4 linked regions of the Mus musculus genome follow. The protein of the gene in region 1 purifies or fractionates together with the protein of each later gene. This does not show direct contact. Links are inferred from orthologs where the notes say so. Each region holds a gene or a part of one and is shown in the gene's direction. Other genes may lie near its edges.

Region 1 (3,659 bases):
AATGAGAGTGTGCTGGCCAGCAGCCTTTTATTCTCTGAGGCTATTGAGTGCTACTGAGGAATGAGGCTGAGTTCTCTGAGCAACTTAGGCTGGTGCCTGTGCCCACCAGACTGGAAAGCCTGGTGACAAGTGGTCTACATTTGAAGGATGTCATAATGTGATATGTATGCATGCTGTCAGTCAGATGCTTTTTCTGTGAAGAACTTGGTCTGCTGCAGGGCTGTCATTATTGGAACAGAATGATCGGAATCATCAAACCATATGCAAGAATACAGCTCCTTGTCTTTAATCTCAAAGTCTTTTCATCTGTGTTGTATTGTGACTTTTTATAGGTGGTTCTGTTGTCTCCAGTTCCAGAATTGAGGGATTCTTCAAAACTTAATGATTCTCTCTACAATGAGGATTGCACATTCCAGCAGCTTGGAACTTACATTCATTCTGTGCGAGACCCTGTTCATAACAGAGTCACTCTAGTAAGTCCTCCTCCAGAGGGTGGAGCAGCTGACTGATCCTCCAGAGGGTGGAGCAGCTGGCTAAGGGTTATTTGTCTGATAGTTCACATTTGGCAGGATGTAAAATTATGTGTGGAAATGAAAACGAACATTTCTCATGATTTTAAACATTTATTGTTCTATGATGTGCATATGTGTGTGGGTATGCATTCATGTATATGTGTGTGCATATGTGTGTGGGTATGCATTCATGTGTTTATGACATGAATGGCCACAACTTTGGAGTTGGTTCTCTGCTTCCATCTTCATGTGAGCTGTAAGAAATGAATGCAGGGTGCCAGGCTTTAACTGCTGAGTTACTTTGTCTTTCAGATATCTTGACATTTTTAAAACATGCTATTATTTTGTACTATTTTACTTTAATTCTGTTTTCTGAGATTTCTATATTAAACATTTACTGAACCCAACCCCAGTTGAGGAGCTGTTGGGAATGGATGGTTTCTGGGGGAGGGAAGGTCAGTTTCCTTAAAGGATATGACCCTGGTAGGATGACCACCCATCCATCAGTGGATTCTTCCACATCTGAGAGTTTATGGGTAGCATAAATTGGGCTTGATGGGTTGTTAAGAAGAAGGAGAGAGGACAGGAAGTTGGGGGTTGGGAAATAGGATCTGCGAGGAGTTGGGGGTGACTATGATAAAAGGACATTATATGAAATTCTCAAGTAGCTAATAAGAGTATATAACAAGTGTATCTAAAACAAGCACATTTACTCCGTCAGTTCACATTGCTGTGTTTTTGTCTTTTCGGAGAAAATCACTTTTGATGATGTTGGTGTCGTAGTGTTTGGATAAAAGCATTATTAAAAGAATTTTTGAAAGTATTTTACAAAAATGTATATTTAGTTAGAAGCATTCATTCTCATTGAAAAGTATAGCAGTTCATTTTATTGTATTTTGCCTTGACTGGCAGACAGTAGTAAAAATTGCCATTTTTTTTTTTAAAGCTTTTAAAAACTTAGAATGCTTAAGCAGTTGGTTTTTTTGTTTGTTTGTTTGTTTCCATTCTTTTCACTAGGAACTGAGCAATGGCTCCATGGTTCGGATCACTATCCCTGAAGTGGCCACCTCGGAATTAGGTAGGTACTGTGCAGTCTCAGTTTGTTTACCACACTGTTGATGGGGACAGTTTCTGGTCTCAGTTTGTTTACCACACTGTTGATGGGAACAGTTTCTGGTCTCTTTTTTGTTGTTGTTGTTGTTGTCTGAATGCAGTACCTGTGGAGGCCAGAAGAGGCTGTCAGGTCCCCTCAGACTAGAGTTAAGAATGGTTGTGAGTTGCTATATGGGTGCTAGAAATTGAACCCAGGTTCTCTACAAGAGCAGCCTGGGCTCTCGACTGCTGAACCAACTCTCCACCCTGCGGTTTCTGTTTGTAGAAGTGAGTCCTTTGCAACATCTGGTTTATTCTTGTTTGTTTTCAGCTAAAGCATGCCGTTTTGGTTTTCTAAGATTTATAGTCTAGGCTTCTAGGCTTCTCAGTGTCTGCTCATTCATTTGATTGATGAGGCTGTGCTGCTAAAGATGGCGTCAGTGACAGTGGTGGTGTGGAGGGAACAAGAAGGAAAACTTGGACTGTCTGGAGCCATTTTGTCCCAATAGTGAATCTGCTGTTTACAGCAGGCAGTCCCCTTGGCTCTCTTCACTGTAGCTGATTTTCACACCAATGATGTGCCATAACTAAGAGCAGTATATATTAGATAGTGTTCGCCCTAACCTACTTATGGCATGGTGAGGAAGACAGTGTAGAAATTACGAGTTGCAGTGTTAGTTGACAGGAATGTTCACTCATTGAGAATAGCTTGTAGCATCCCTAAGCATTCCTGTTAGTAGGTGCCTGTGCTGCATGTTGAATCTACTGAAGGATTTAATCCACATTTTATATAAATTTATTTGTGTAGAAATTAGATTTTTGTTGTTGTTGTTGTTAGTTTTTTGGTTTTTTCGAGACAGGGTTTCTCTGTGTAGCCCTGGCTGTCCTGGAAGTCACTCTACAGACCAGGCTGGCCTCGAACTCAGAAATCTGCCTGCCTCTGCCTCTGTGCTGGGATTAAAGGCGTGCGCCACCACGCCCGGCTTTGTTTTCTTTTCTTTTTTTTTTTTTTGAAATTAGATATTTTTTATGAAGTAAGCTTGATTGTTCAAAGTAGGACAGTTTTGAGAGTGAAAAGGGAACAGTTATTTCCTGGAGCAGTGGTTATTTCTGGTGAACTGGGCTATATGCTCACTTTATTTCTAGTCCCGAATTAGGGATCTGACAGCTAATCTTCAGATTTTCTGTGAGCCCTGTTGAATTCAGTAGTTAGTTTAACGTGATTGATAATGTTGAGGTAATGTTTGTGCCCAGTGTCCTTAGTGATAGTTTCTGTTTTTCCTGGCTGGCCTGGACATGGTAGCAATTTGAACCTTCCCATTTGAAAGGAGGCAGGCAGTACATACTAAAATCAGTATTTGCTTTTAATAGTACAAACGTGTCTGCAAGCAATTAAGTTCATCCTGCCAAAAGAAGTAGCCATTCAGGTGCTCGTCAAGTGGTACAATGTGCACAGTGCTCCAGGAGGACCCAGCTGTCACTCAGAGTGGAGTTTATTTGTGATTTGTCTCTTGAACATGATGGGTTATAACACAGACCGCTTAGCATGGACCCGAAGTGTAAGTAACTACAGTTGTTTTCTTCATTATCCTGTTAGAAATGCAGTGCTTGTATAACTGGCTATATAACTGAGAGAACCTGACAAACTTAATAATAGGTAAGCCTTAGAATATGTCGGGATAATACTAAGGCCTGTTGTCCTATATAGCATGAATCAAATACTTAGTAGGTTTTGAGTCTTTATTTAAAAATCTGTTTAAGCACAATTTACCTTTTTTTCTTTTCTTTTTGTCTTTTTTAAAGTCAAGGTCTTGCTGTGTACGTAGCCCAGGCTGGTCTTGAATTCACCACATTCCCCACTTTGCCTTCCAAGCTGGGATTGCAGTTGTGTGTTACTGCTGCCTGATTTTGACTGTTTCTCAGTTATCTTTGTAAAACGACGTAACTAGACCTCTTGGTTTTGTTGGTAGGCGAAGCAGCGAGGTCTCAGACTTAGCTTTAGAACGCTGGTAGCGGTGTAAAGCCCAGCCTTCTGTCCGTCATTCTGCAGGAGGT
Region 2 (3,273 bases), on another chromosome or scaffold:
TTCGAGGCCAGCCTGGTCTACAGAGTGAGTTCCAGGACAGCCAGAGCTACACAGAGAAACCCTGTCTTGAAAAACCAAAAAAAAAAAAAAAAGTCACTGTATAGCCCAGGCTGGCCTGGAACTCTGAGCACATCTCCTGCCTCCACTTCCCAAGTGCTAGGCTTGAACTCCCACACCTTGCTTGTTTTATATTCTCACTCTTTCTCTCTCTCCTCACACCTTCCTTCTGTCCCTCCTCCTCCCATCTCTGCCTCTGCCTCTGTGTGTATCCCTCTGTCTATCTTTCTCTCACGCTCACACTCTCTTTTTTTCTTCTTCTTTTAATTATACGTGTAGGTATGCAGTCCATGTGTGGGGGGTGAGTGAGAACAAGTGCCTCAAAAGCCTAGCAATGTCAGATGCAGTGATGTCAGATGCAGTGATGTCAGGTTGTGAGCCGGCTGACGTGGGTGCTGGGAATTCAACTCAGCTCTTCTGCAAGAGCACTCTGCGCTCTTATTTGCTGAGTCGTCTCTCCAGCCCCTCTCTTTTCTTTATTAAGAGGTTTTAGGGAGCTCACTTTTGAGTACCTCTTTTGCTACAGCAATAAAACCCTGCTTGCCTTTGAGCAGAGGGAAGGTTTTAATACAGATTTAAACATAGGGATTAAGAGAAAGAGAGACCCTTAGGCAAAGGAGCGTACATACCCAAGTATGGGTGTGGGCTTCTCAAGAGAGTCACCTGTATTTCTTAATAACTGTATTTAAAATTTTTTAATATAAACTTTCCAGACTCAGAGAAAGAAAAGAAAATGGAAGCCCCCTCTTGAGATTTGGTCATGGAAAAGGCTAAGCCTGAAGGGAGATAAAAGGGTGACAGGCCTTGCCAAATTCGCACAGCAAGAGGGAAAAAGAACAACATTCAGATAAGGGCTAGAGAGACTGGCTTCCCTAGTCACATACACATGAATAATAACTAATGGGAATGACTGGATTACTGCCCACCATGTGCACAACACACATCCACGTGTACACACACGGAGGCTGATACAGCTCAGGGGTAGAGCACTTGACCCTGGGTTTAGTCTCCACTAACTCAAGCAAAGGGGAGACGTGCATAATGCAGATGAGTGGAGAATGATTAGGAAAAATGGTTGTTGTTTTTTGTTGGGGTTTTTTTGTTTGTTTGTTTGTTTGTTTCCAAAAATTAGTCTTCAGACGTACATAAAGTCCACCTGGAGATGAAGCCTAGGCTAGTTGTCACATTGGTAACTTTGGCGGCAGTCTGATGGGAAATGCCCTGGTGTGCTCTGTCCCTTAACTCTCTAGATCAGCAAGTCGCTCGGATGGAAAAACTGGCTGGTCTGGTGGAAGAGCTGGAGGCCGACGAGTGGCGGTTTAAACCCATCGAGCAGCTGCTGGGGTTCACACCCTCCTCGGGCTGATGTTGCCTGCACGACCACCCTTAGGGCACAGCCACCCAGGGAGTCACAGCTGTCCTGTGAGCTGCATGTCTGAATCCACATCCATACTTGGTGTCTCCAATTCTGCTAATAGGCAACAAGTGCTCATGTGAGATGTCGCGGAGATGTTTTTCACATTCATGTTCTTTAAAGCATTGGGCAGCACTTGGGAAGCAGAGGCAGGAGGATCTCTGTGAGTTTGAGGCTAGCCTGGTCTACATAAGAGTTCCAGGACAGCCAGGGCTATGAGACACTGTCTCAAAATAAATAAATAAATAAATAAATAAATAAATAAAAAGAAGTATTGGGGATCAGATGGAGACAGTCCTTTCAGAGAACCAGGAGGCTTGGGATCTAGGAAACACTGATTCTCACAAGCCAAATGGACACATGCCAGAGTCAGCCAACTGAATGGAGGATGTCCTGTCATTCAGAGGCTGTCTGGAAGCTTTCACCAGCCAAGCCCAAGGTCAGCATCTGTCGTTTCACGGTCACAGCCCAAACATTTCTCTTCACACATGAATGTGGTTTCAGCTCAGGGTCCGTCCAGATGGGAGCTGTAAAGTGTCCTTTCCCTCTCTGTTCTTAGACATTTAACATTACAGACTATTTCTTTCACCTCTCACGACATGCCAAATGTGCTACTCCACCTCACTCTGCCCCCCAAGATTGCTTTTTGAATGTTGCAGCACTTGAAAATATGAAGTGACCTAAATCCTTTTGAACCCCGAAGTCTTAGTCCGGCTTACAGGGTATGAAAGCAGTTCTGTGGCAAATAAACCCTTACACGAGGTCCAGATCGCTGTGCGTATCCTTTCCGGTCTGGGGGACTTAGACAGAGAGAGGAGGTCAGCTTTTCCTTAGACTTGAAAGTCGCTTAAGTAAGCCGTAGGTTTCTTTATGTGGGCTGTTTGCTTGTATAGAAGTTCCAACTTACTGCAACCTCAGTGAGTGTGGCCGTGGGCTGTTTGTTGGTTAGTTCGCTTGTTTGGAACCTTGTCTCTCAGTAGCTAGGCTGGCCTTAAACTCATAGCCATCCTCCTGCCTCAGCCTACTAAGTGTGAGGATTACCCTCCTTTCTTCACTAGGTTTTTACACGAAGATAGAGAAAAACCTGGATGACCAAGCCCTCGTCATGGGACCCACACTGCACAATTAGGAGGCTTAAGTACTTTTACATACAAATTTACCCTAGCCAGCATTTAGCGTTCTGCTCATTAATTAATAACTTACACCTGATCTGCTTAGAGTTGCTTAATTATAAATAAATTTAATCCTAGTAGCAATTGGCCTTAATCTCAGGAGTTGAAACTATTTAACACACAGTCGCTGCCAGGGAGGAGCTGGCCTCATTTACTGGGGAAAGTCTAGGCCAGTGAAGAGAAACTGCTGCTCAGGCAGAGGACAACCATGTAAGTGGGAGTGGGGAAAAATTGATCCATCATGGAGCCCACTGTTCTGGTCTGAAGCAAGCCAGAGCTTGAGAAGTACCAGCCCCAGCCTCACTGTCTCCCTGTTCTTCTCTGCCACTGTGGTGAAAGCCCCACGCCCAGCTGCTTCCCTAGAGAAGAGTTGAATATTCAGGTGCAGCCCATGGTCAGACTTTCCCTGTGGAGAGAAGCGACCAGACCCCTGGTTTCATGTGAGACCAGACTCTCACCTCCCTTCGCCCACTGGTACTTGGACTTACTACAGACTATTTCCTTGATTAAGTTGAGCATTTCTTTTTTTTTTTTTTTTAAGATTTATTTATTATTATATTTAAGTACACTGTAGCTGTCTTCAGATGCACCAGAAAAGGGCGTCAGATCTCATTACGGATGGTTGTGAGC
Region 3 (4,110 bases), about 100 Mb from region 1:
ATTTTGTTTTTGTTTTTTTGAGACAGGGTTTCTCTGTGTAGCCCTGGCTGTCTTGGAACTCACTCTATAGACCAGGCTGACCTCCAACTCAGAAATCCGCCTGCCTCTGCCTCCTGAGTGCTGGGATTAAAGGCGTGCGCCACCACTGCCCAGGTGGTAAATGCATATCTTTATGTCCAAGTTTTCTCTATGTCTGTTTCCCTCTTCTTGGGATACTAGTTATATCAGATTAAGGACCCTGGAGATAGGACTTACAGTGTCACTAGAGTCAGTGTCCTGGGCTTTACTTACTATCTCTTTGAAGAGATACAGTTTGGCCCATGGCAGCCTGTGGTTCTAAAACTAATAGTCTTTACATGAGAAAATTAGCCAATATCTCCAAAATTAACCACTTCAGCATCAGTTCTTAAAAATCTCTTCTAATCTAGATGGGTGGTGCCTATCTATGATCCTAGCACTCAGGAGACTAAAGCAGAAGGGTGGTGGTTCATTATATAGCCTAGCTATATAGTGAGGACCCCCCCCAAAAAAAAAAAAACCGTATCCATCTGAAGTAGGTTTCGTCTCCACCTTGATGCTGTGAGGTTGTTTTGATCCAAAGCACATTGTTAAAACAAGCCCAGTTCAGAAGAGGGTGTTCCCAAAGGCAGCAAGAAGGATCATGAGCCTAAAGCAAATCTGAACCACGGAAAGCAGAGTTGACAGTGTGGCTCAGGCCTTGGTGGTGCCCTTGGCTTTCCTGGCAGCCCTGTGTGCACTCTCCTGTACCTCTGTCACTGCATTCAGACTGTCAGCATTGCTGCTGACATAACACCCAAAATCTTGGTGCTTTCCATGAAGTGTACAATATCCAATTTATCAAGTGACTGTGATCCTGAGCCAAGTGTGCTGGTGATGCCTGTCACCCCAGCCTTGGAGGCAGGCACAGCAGCAGCACTGCTAGTTTGAGGCTAGCGTGTTGTATATAACAAGTTTCAAGGCAATTCAGCTATAGAGGAAGGCTCTGTCTTTTATTTAAAAAATGAAGAAAAGAAAGTGAGGGAAGGGGTATGTTCCTGGATATGCTACGTGTTCCGGGTGGATCTACAAATCACACTCATGTCAGCAAACATCTAGCTACAGGCTGGTAGTTCTCTGCCAGCTCCCCCAGTGTCTAGTGTTTGCTCATCGTTTCTATCTGAGCTCTCAGCAGCAGGTCCTCTCAGTGCCCTCATCTCTACCAGCATTATTCTCTATAGTATGGGCAATAGCTCTTATCCTTCCTTGAGCCTTCACCAGCATCATCTGCATCTTCCATGTCGTGCCAGTTAACTGTAGCAACCTAAGGTTTAACCTTCATGTGCTTCCCCATTGTACAAACAACTTCTATATTTTAGGTGTTTTTAGAGCAGTATCCCTACATAGAACCAGAATCATCCTTTTTTTTTTTTTTTTTTTTTCTGTTTTAGACAGGGCTTCTCTGTGTAGCCCTGGCTATTCTGGAACTCACTCTGTAGACCAGGCTGGCCTCGAACTCACAGAGCTCCACCTGCCTCTGCCTCCCAAGTGCTGGGATTAAAGGCATGTGCCATCTATACAGCAGAAGCTTCACTTATTATGACCTTTTTAACAGGGCTACACAGAGAAACCCTGTCTTACAGACAGACAGACAGACAGACAGACAGAAGACAAAGTCACAGGCTGAGTGGTTTTAAACAACAGAAAAATGTTTTAGTTCTGGGAAATAGAAGTCCAGTGTTGGGGTGTTGGCAGGACTGGGCTCCTCCTGTTGCCTCTAAAAAACTACTCTTTTGCTTTCCCAGCTTTTGATATGTCAGCATACTTTATGCCTCTCATAACCACTCCCTTCTGTGCCTTAAGGGCTACCCTACTCCAGGATGACCTCTTCTTAACTAATTACATCTACATTAACTCTCTTTGCAAATAACTCATGTTCCAAGGTACTGAGACATGAGAGGGACACAATTTATCAGCAGTTATATCATGGTTGTTCAGGAGCCAGGGACTCCAATCAGGTCTCCTGGTCTTGCTGTTGACTACCTACCTGCCAGGAATGGCATTGGTGCAAGAGCCATTCCATGCTTGGTAGCATGGCATATGAGCCTATGCCTTGTTCATCTGGACCTGCCTGGAACCCACTGGACTGTTATTGATGATTCCTGCCCAGGCTATGCGGACACTTAGTTGGAAGCACACCCTGGGCCTGGTGACAATGGATGTGGAGCTTGCTGACCGCACCCTGTCTGTTGCGGTGACCCCAGTACAGGCAGTGGTCTTGCTGTATTTCCAGAACCAAGGTGAGTCCCTAGAACCATATCTGCTCTGCTTTGACTACACTACCTTGGGGCTATTGCTATAATCTGATGGGCTATAAGGTAACATGCCAGATTCCCCAGCCCCCAGCAGAGTGTAGGGGTAGCAACCATTCTTTTTACCTATGAGTTACACAGGACAATCCACGTGCGTCTGGGGGTCCAGCTAGCTAACAGGTATTGGAGCAGGTATAATCTTCGGTACCTGCATCCTATGGCTCTGCACACAGCCAGCTGGACCCTGGAGGAACTGAGCAAGGTGGTGAAGATGCCTGTGGCACTGCTTCGAAGACGCATGTCAGTGTGGCTGCAACAGGGTGTGCTGCGGGAGGAACCTCCAGGCACTTTCTCTGTCATTGAGGAAGAGCGGCCTCAGGATAGGGACAACATGGTGCTGATTGACAGTGATGATGAGAGTGACTCAGGCATGGCCTCCCAGGCTGACCAGAAGGAAGAGGAGCTACTGGTACGTTGGCCATTTCCACATTGGGCTGGGGTGGGCCAAATAAGTGGACAACTAACCATGCCTGGCTTCTGTTCCTAGCTCTTCTGGGCATACATCCAGGCCATGTTAACCAACCTAGAGAGCCTCTCTCTGGAGCGTATCTACAGCATGCTCCGGATGTTTGTAATGACTGGCCCTGCGCTGGCTGAGATTGACCTGCAGGAGCTGCAGGGCTACTTGCAGAAGAAGGTCCGAGACCAGCAGCTCATCTATTCTGCAGGTGTCTACCGCCTGCCTAAGAATTCCAACTGATGTTCCCTTTCCAGGCTCTGACTACAGCATTCATGCCTGTGCAACCCCTAGATGGACAGCTTCTATTTCCATGTTCCTGTGCCCAGTCCCTGCCCGTTCCCTGCCTAACACCCACAGAACAAATTAAAGCATATTGGCTCATCCTTTCATGTATTTTGTTGGATCCCATGAATACAAACAGGTTTGCCCTCTATAGCCACCCAACCATAACCCTACAGGGCCTGGATTCCCAGCAGCAGGTAACTGAGCCACCCAAGAAGCCAGGCTTACCCCAGCCTAAGCTTGTATGTTTGGGCAATAGATTACCCTAAAGCTATCTCCTGTAGCCTGTCTTAGAATATGCTGGGACCTGTTTCAGCAAGAGTGAATAGGGTTGGCAGCTCAGAGTCTCCCGAGTTAGACTTTGGCCCCATCCTGCTTTTGTGGCCATTAAAAGGAACTCTTGGTCCTTCACTTGTGTGTGGCATCTGTGGAATCAATGTAAGGCTTTGTGCTGTTAGTACATTTGCACTCGATGAGATCCTCAGGTGAGGCAACCTGAGTCAAGTGCACACCTGTGTCTAGCAGTCAAGGTCAGCCTAAGGACATATGCTGGGGGCCAGGGGCGTATTAGTCCTTTGTCCTCTTTTCTCTACTGGCCACACTTCTTGGAGCTTACAAGTATGTACTCAGACTCTTTCAGGTCCCCCAGAGATGCTGTCAGAAGTACAGGAAGAGGGTGGGGACAAGAAGAGAACCCAGGACACAGTTTAATAATCCTTTTCCTCCAAGATAGGGCTCAGCCACCCTTGTAGGCAGGCTGTGCCCAGACACCTGTTGAGGACAGGTTGGCCTTAAGACAACAGAACCTGGTGGGACACAGCATGGGCCCCTGTGTCCCTGTCCCAGAACAGCTGTTTTCAGTCAGGAAATACTGACCTGAGGTGCCATCCTCAAAGGAAACAAAAGCCCTTTGGAATCATTGCTTACACACCCAGATCCTGCCCAAGGTGGATCCCAGGCCACAAGCCACACCTAGCTTGGGCTGCTGCCACTACCCCT
Region 4 (4,322 bases), on another chromosome or scaffold:
CCAACTATAAAGGTATCTGATGCTATCTTCTGGTGTGTCTGAAGACAGCTACAGTGTATACTCATATACATAAAATAAATAACTAAATCTTTTTTAAAAAATGGCCTTGAATCTCAAATTTAAGCAAACAGCTTCAGTTGTTTACATTTTAATTGCATGTAGTTATTTATTTTGTGCGAGTGAGAGGCACATGCGGCTGTCTCAGAGGACAACGTGAAGGAGTCAGGTCTCTCCTCCCACACAGGGGATTGAATTTACAAAACTAGCCTTGCTGATAAGTGGTTTTACTCTCAGGCTGCCCAGCTTCAACATTTGAAAGTTTTGGTTTCCTTGTCGGCAAAGAAGGACTGACAATTCAAAGTACTTATTTGTTTGTTTGTTTGTTTGTTTGTTTTAAGCGTTTTCAAACAGGGTTTCTCTGCGTATCCCTAGCTGTCCTGGAACTCACCCTATAAACCAGGCTAATCTTTAACTCACAGAGATCGGCCCAACTCCCAAGTGCTAGAATTAAACCACCCCCTGCCAACGTTGTTATTTATTTATTGAATATGAGTACACCATTGCTCTCTTCAGACACACCAGAAGAGGGCATCAGATCCCATTAAATGTGGTTTTGAGCAACCATGCGGTTGCTGAGAATTGAACTCAGGATCTCTGGTATAGCAGTCGGTGCTCTTAACCACTGAGCCATCTCTCCAGATCCAAGTTGTTGTTGTTTGTTTGTTTGTTTGTTTCAATGTATTTTTATGAGTATCTGCATGCCTGAGTGTGTATGTCTGTGCACCACATGCATGTATGTGCCCATAGACGCCAGAGGAAGGAGTCGGATGCCCTGGAGCTGGCCTTTCAGACTGTTGTGAGCCACCAGGTAGGTGCTAGGAACCGAATTCCCCTGCAAGAGCATGCAGTTTTAATTTCTGAGGCGGCTCTCTCCCTCTATGGAAATGGCTTCAGCATTGCGATTTGTGAATATGCAATGCAGTAACGAGTTCGTAAAGGCTTGAGATGTTGACAGTGGGGCGATCAGAGATCCAGCTCATCCCTGTAACTATCTTTTCTTCGCACTTGGATCTAGCGGGTCACTTGGACGGGCAAGCCATGCCTTGCACCAAGGAATCTATTCCCAGTGACAGGGACAAGAGTCGCCAGGAGAGGGGGGCGTGCCACCTTCGCCTAGGACGCTCCCGTAGTTGGAGAAAGCCAGCCCTTGCGCGCCTGATTCGAAAATTCAATTTTTAACTGTCCGTTTTCCGCCTCCGCTGTGTTTAGGATGAACTCCTGTGCATTGTTACTAGCCTCCGCGAGGCATCCATTCCTCTCAGGCTGTCTTTAGCGCAGCAAAACTACGATTCCTACTGGGATGGCTTTGAAGATGATGATGATGGAGAAAACCCTTTCGCCGCTGCTTCTTTTTACTCAGGCACGTCCGTGGCTACCTCCATCTTCGGGGGGCGGAGCCGCGTCTGGACCGGAAGGACCCCGGCGCCGTCTCCATTTTGGAACTTTCCCCGAGCCTCTGCTCTCGGTTCCCGGGAGTTCTGTCCGCCGCTGCCGGTGCCGCGGTGTCGCCGGGGGCCACGGTGTTGCCGGGCAGGATGAGTGTGATAGACCACGTGCGGGACATGGCGGCTGCGGGACTGCACTCCAACGTGCGGCTCCTCAGCAGCCTGCTGCTCACCATGAGTAACAACAACCCGTGAGTTGGAGAGGCGGGGAGGTGGCGGTCCCGGGAGCCGGGGTTGGCGGTGGCGGGGGGACGGTGTGGTCCCGCGGAGGGCTGCGCGGGATCCGGCCTCGGTGGCCTCGGAGTTCTGGCTCCTTCCAGAACGACGAAGTCCCCTGAGTCCCGGGGACCCAGTCCACCGAGTGTCAGCCGTGGGGGTGCCACCCCAGCGGAGGGAGGGGACCCCACTTTCCGAGACTGAGAGCATCGGTGGCGGGCGCGGTGGCGCCTTTTTTTAATTTAAAAGGAACCCTGGCAGTCTAATGTAAGGCCCGACATTGCCGCCGGGGAGTGACTGGTTTTGTGTGGTTGTGTTTACAAACAGGGGTCTCCTGTAGCCCAGGCTAGCCTGCCCCAGGCTGTGTGTGTGTGTGTGTGTAGTCAAGGAAGACCTTGACCTTCTTACCCTCCTGCCTACGCCTCCCAGAAGCTGGGGGGGGGGGGTTAACTGGTGTTTTACACCCCCACCATGCTCTCAGTGTGCGTGTGGACCTTGGGGATCGAACCAGGGATTTCAGGCGTGCTAGGCAAAACACTACCGATGGAGTGACAGTTCTATCTAGCCGGGTTTACTGCGTCTCAAAGGAAGCCCGGGACAGTTGTAGGCTTGAATTGCCTGTAAGGGCCTTGCTTAAAAATTTCCCCATCATTGCTCACTCTTCGACGTGGCTCCGCAAGTCAACCTAGTCATTCCTTTTCTCTAATTTCTCCTCCTGCCCGAGCGCTCTCAGAGCAAGCATTGGCACCGGTGGCTTCACTTTAGAACCGCTGCCTGAGCCGGGCAGTGGTGGCGCATGCCTTTAGTCCCAGCACTTGGGAGGCAGAGGCAGGCGGATTTCTGAGTTCGAGGCCAGCCTGGTGTACAGAGTGAGTTCCAGGACAGCCAGGGCTACACAGAGAAACCTTGTCTCAAAACAAAACAAAACAAAAAAAAATGCTAAGGAAATGTGTTTATTACAGGGAGGTCCAGTAGGTCGACCAAGATCACACCCTGGAGAACATAGAGGAGCGAGTGGATCTGTCTATGATTGGAGATAGTTTGTATTTCAGTCCACCACTGTCTAGTGCTTCCAAAGAACATTACAGTAGCCTTCTACTCCGTGCAGACATTTGCATTTGGCGTGGCTGAGGCTAGTCTAGTGAGACAGCCAAAGGGCTGTGAGGGGCCTGTAATTCAGTCACTACCCCCCACTCCAATTCATTAGTGTGCTTTGGACCGACTAGGCACACACATCATTTGGTCACCAGCTTCTTTTTTTTTTTTTTTTTAAAGATTTTATTTATTTATTTATTTTTATTTATTATATGTAAGTACACTGTAACTGTCTTCAGACACTCCAGAAGAGGGCATCAGATCTCATTACGGGTGGTTGTGAGCCACCATGTGGTTGCTGGGATTTGAACTTCGGACCTTCGGAAGAGCAGTCGGGTGCTCTTACCCACTGAGCCATCTCACCAGCCCGGTCACCAGCTTCTTAGTGTGACACGAGGGACACTGGTCTCTGTCAGCCTTCTGTGTTGATGTTGAGGACTTTTCCCCAGAATCTTAGTGGTGCTTCATAGCAAATGGTTTCCTGTGTTGGGGATAATGCCCTAATCTTTACTCTTGGGTCGGGACAACGTTCTAGCACTGTTTGAACGCTATAGAGCGTCCTCCTCTAGTTAGACTGAATTGGGCTAACCCATGCTTTTCCACGTTAGGTTAGATTGGCAAGTTCTTAGCTACAGGAAGCAGATAAGTTCTGACCTTCATCCTTTATGTTTTGATATTTGTTGAAGAGACAGTGTACACACTGTCCAAAAACAAAATAAGACTGATAACATAGTTCAGTGGTAGAATTCTTACCTAAAATGCCTTGCAGCTGGATCTAGCCTTTACAGTTACCTAAGATATCGCTCTGCCCGGGAAATGGTCATTGTGTACTGGCTGGTTTTGGGTGTCAACTTGACACAGGCTGGAGTTATCACAGAGAAAGGAGCTTCAGTTGAAGAAATGCCTCCATGAGATCCAGCTGTAAGGCATTTCCTCAATGAGTGATCAAGTGGGGGGGGCCTCTTGTGGGGTGGTACCATCTCTGGGCTGGTAGTCTTGGGTTCTATAAGAGAGCAGGCTGAGCAAGCCAGGGGAAGCAAGCCAGTAAAGAACATCCCTCCATGGCCTCTGCATCAGCTCCTGCTTCCTGACCTGCTTAAGTTCCAGTCCTGACTTCCTTGGTGATGAACCGCAGTGTGGAAGTGTAAGCCGAATAAACCCTTTCCTCCCCAACTTGCTTCTTGGTCATGATGTTTGTGCAGGAATAGAAACCCTGACTAAGACACACTGTAACATACTTGCCGAGCGAGTAGTGTCTCTGGAGTGATACATGAAAAGCAGTGCTCTCTGGAGAAGGATGGTGGTTGGGTCAGGTTCAAAACCGAGGAAGCAGTACTTTGCTTGCCTCTGTTTTTCCCACCTCACAGCTTCACTGTGTAGCCCTGGCCGTCCTGGAACTCAGAGATCCACTTGCCTCTGACTCCACAGTGTCGGAATTAAATGATGATTGAGCCAGCACACCGGTCTTCGTGAAGCTGAGGCTGACCTTGAACCCCTGATCCTCCT

What was found.
Region 2: the proteins of Anapc1 (region 1) and Anapc16 purify together in Homo sapiens (co-immunoprecipitation; 5 studies listed by BioGRID and IntAct, with this or other methods). This does not show direct contact. The link is inferred for Mus musculus from reciprocal best matches to the Homo sapiens genes ANAPC1 and ANAPC16.
Region 3: the proteins of Anapc1 (region 1) and Anapc2 fractionate together in Homo sapiens (co-fractionation; 8 studies listed by BioGRID and IntAct, with this or other methods). This does not show direct contact. The link is inferred for Mus musculus from reciprocal best matches to the Homo sapiens genes ANAPC1 and ANAPC2.
Region 4: the proteins of Anapc1 (region 1) and Anapc7 fractionate together in Homo sapiens (co-fractionation; 6 studies listed by BioGRID and IntAct, with this or other methods). This does not show direct contact. The link is inferred for Mus musculus from reciprocal best matches to the Homo sapiens genes ANAPC1 and ANAPC7.

What each region holds. Positions count from the first base shown.
Region 1 is NC_000068.7:128,663,379-128,667,037, reverse strand, and holds part of Anapc1 (anaphase-promoting complex subunit 1), read left to right. Parts: intron 1-332; coding exon 333-473; intron 474-1,529; coding exon 1,530-1,590; intron 1,591-2,975; coding exon 2,976-3,163; intron 3,164-3,659. UniProt on the Homo sapiens protein: Component of the anaphase promoting complex/cyclosome (APC/C), a cell cycle-regulated E3 ubiquitin ligase that controls progression through mitosis and the G1 phase of the cell cycle.
Region 2 is NC_000076.6:59,986,873-59,990,145, reverse strand, and holds the end of Anapc16 (anaphase-promoting complex subunit 16), read left to right. Parts: intron 1-1,307; coding exon 1,308-1,423; 3' UTR 1,424-2,737; downstream 2,738-3,273. UniProt on the Homo sapiens protein: Component of the anaphase promoting complex/cyclosome (APC/C), a cell cycle-regulated E3 ubiquitin ligase that controls progression through mitosis and the G1 phase of the cell cycle.
Region 3 is NC_000068.7:25,282,395-25,286,504, forward strand, and holds the end of Anapc2 (anaphase-promoting complex subunit 2), read left to right. Parts: intron 1-2,167; coding exon 2,168-2,297; intron 2,298-2,542; coding exon 2,543-2,778; intron 2,779-2,856; coding exon 2,857-3,069; 3' UTR 3,070-3,522; downstream 3,523-4,110. UniProt on the Homo sapiens protein: Together with the RING-H2 protein ANAPC11, constitutes the catalytic component of the anaphase promoting complex/cyclosome (APC/C), a cell cycle-regulated E3 ubiquitin ligase that controls progression through mitosis and the G1 phase of the cell cycle.
Region 4 is NC_000071.6:122,420,983-122,425,304, forward strand, and holds the start of Anapc7 (anaphase-promoting complex subunit 7), read left to right. Parts: upstream 1-1,461; 5' UTR 1,462-1,595; coding exon 1,596-1,696; intron 1,697-4,322. UniProt on the Homo sapiens protein: Component of the anaphase promoting complex/cyclosome (APC/C), a cell cycle-regulated E3 ubiquitin ligase that controls progression through mitosis and the G1 phase of the cell cycle.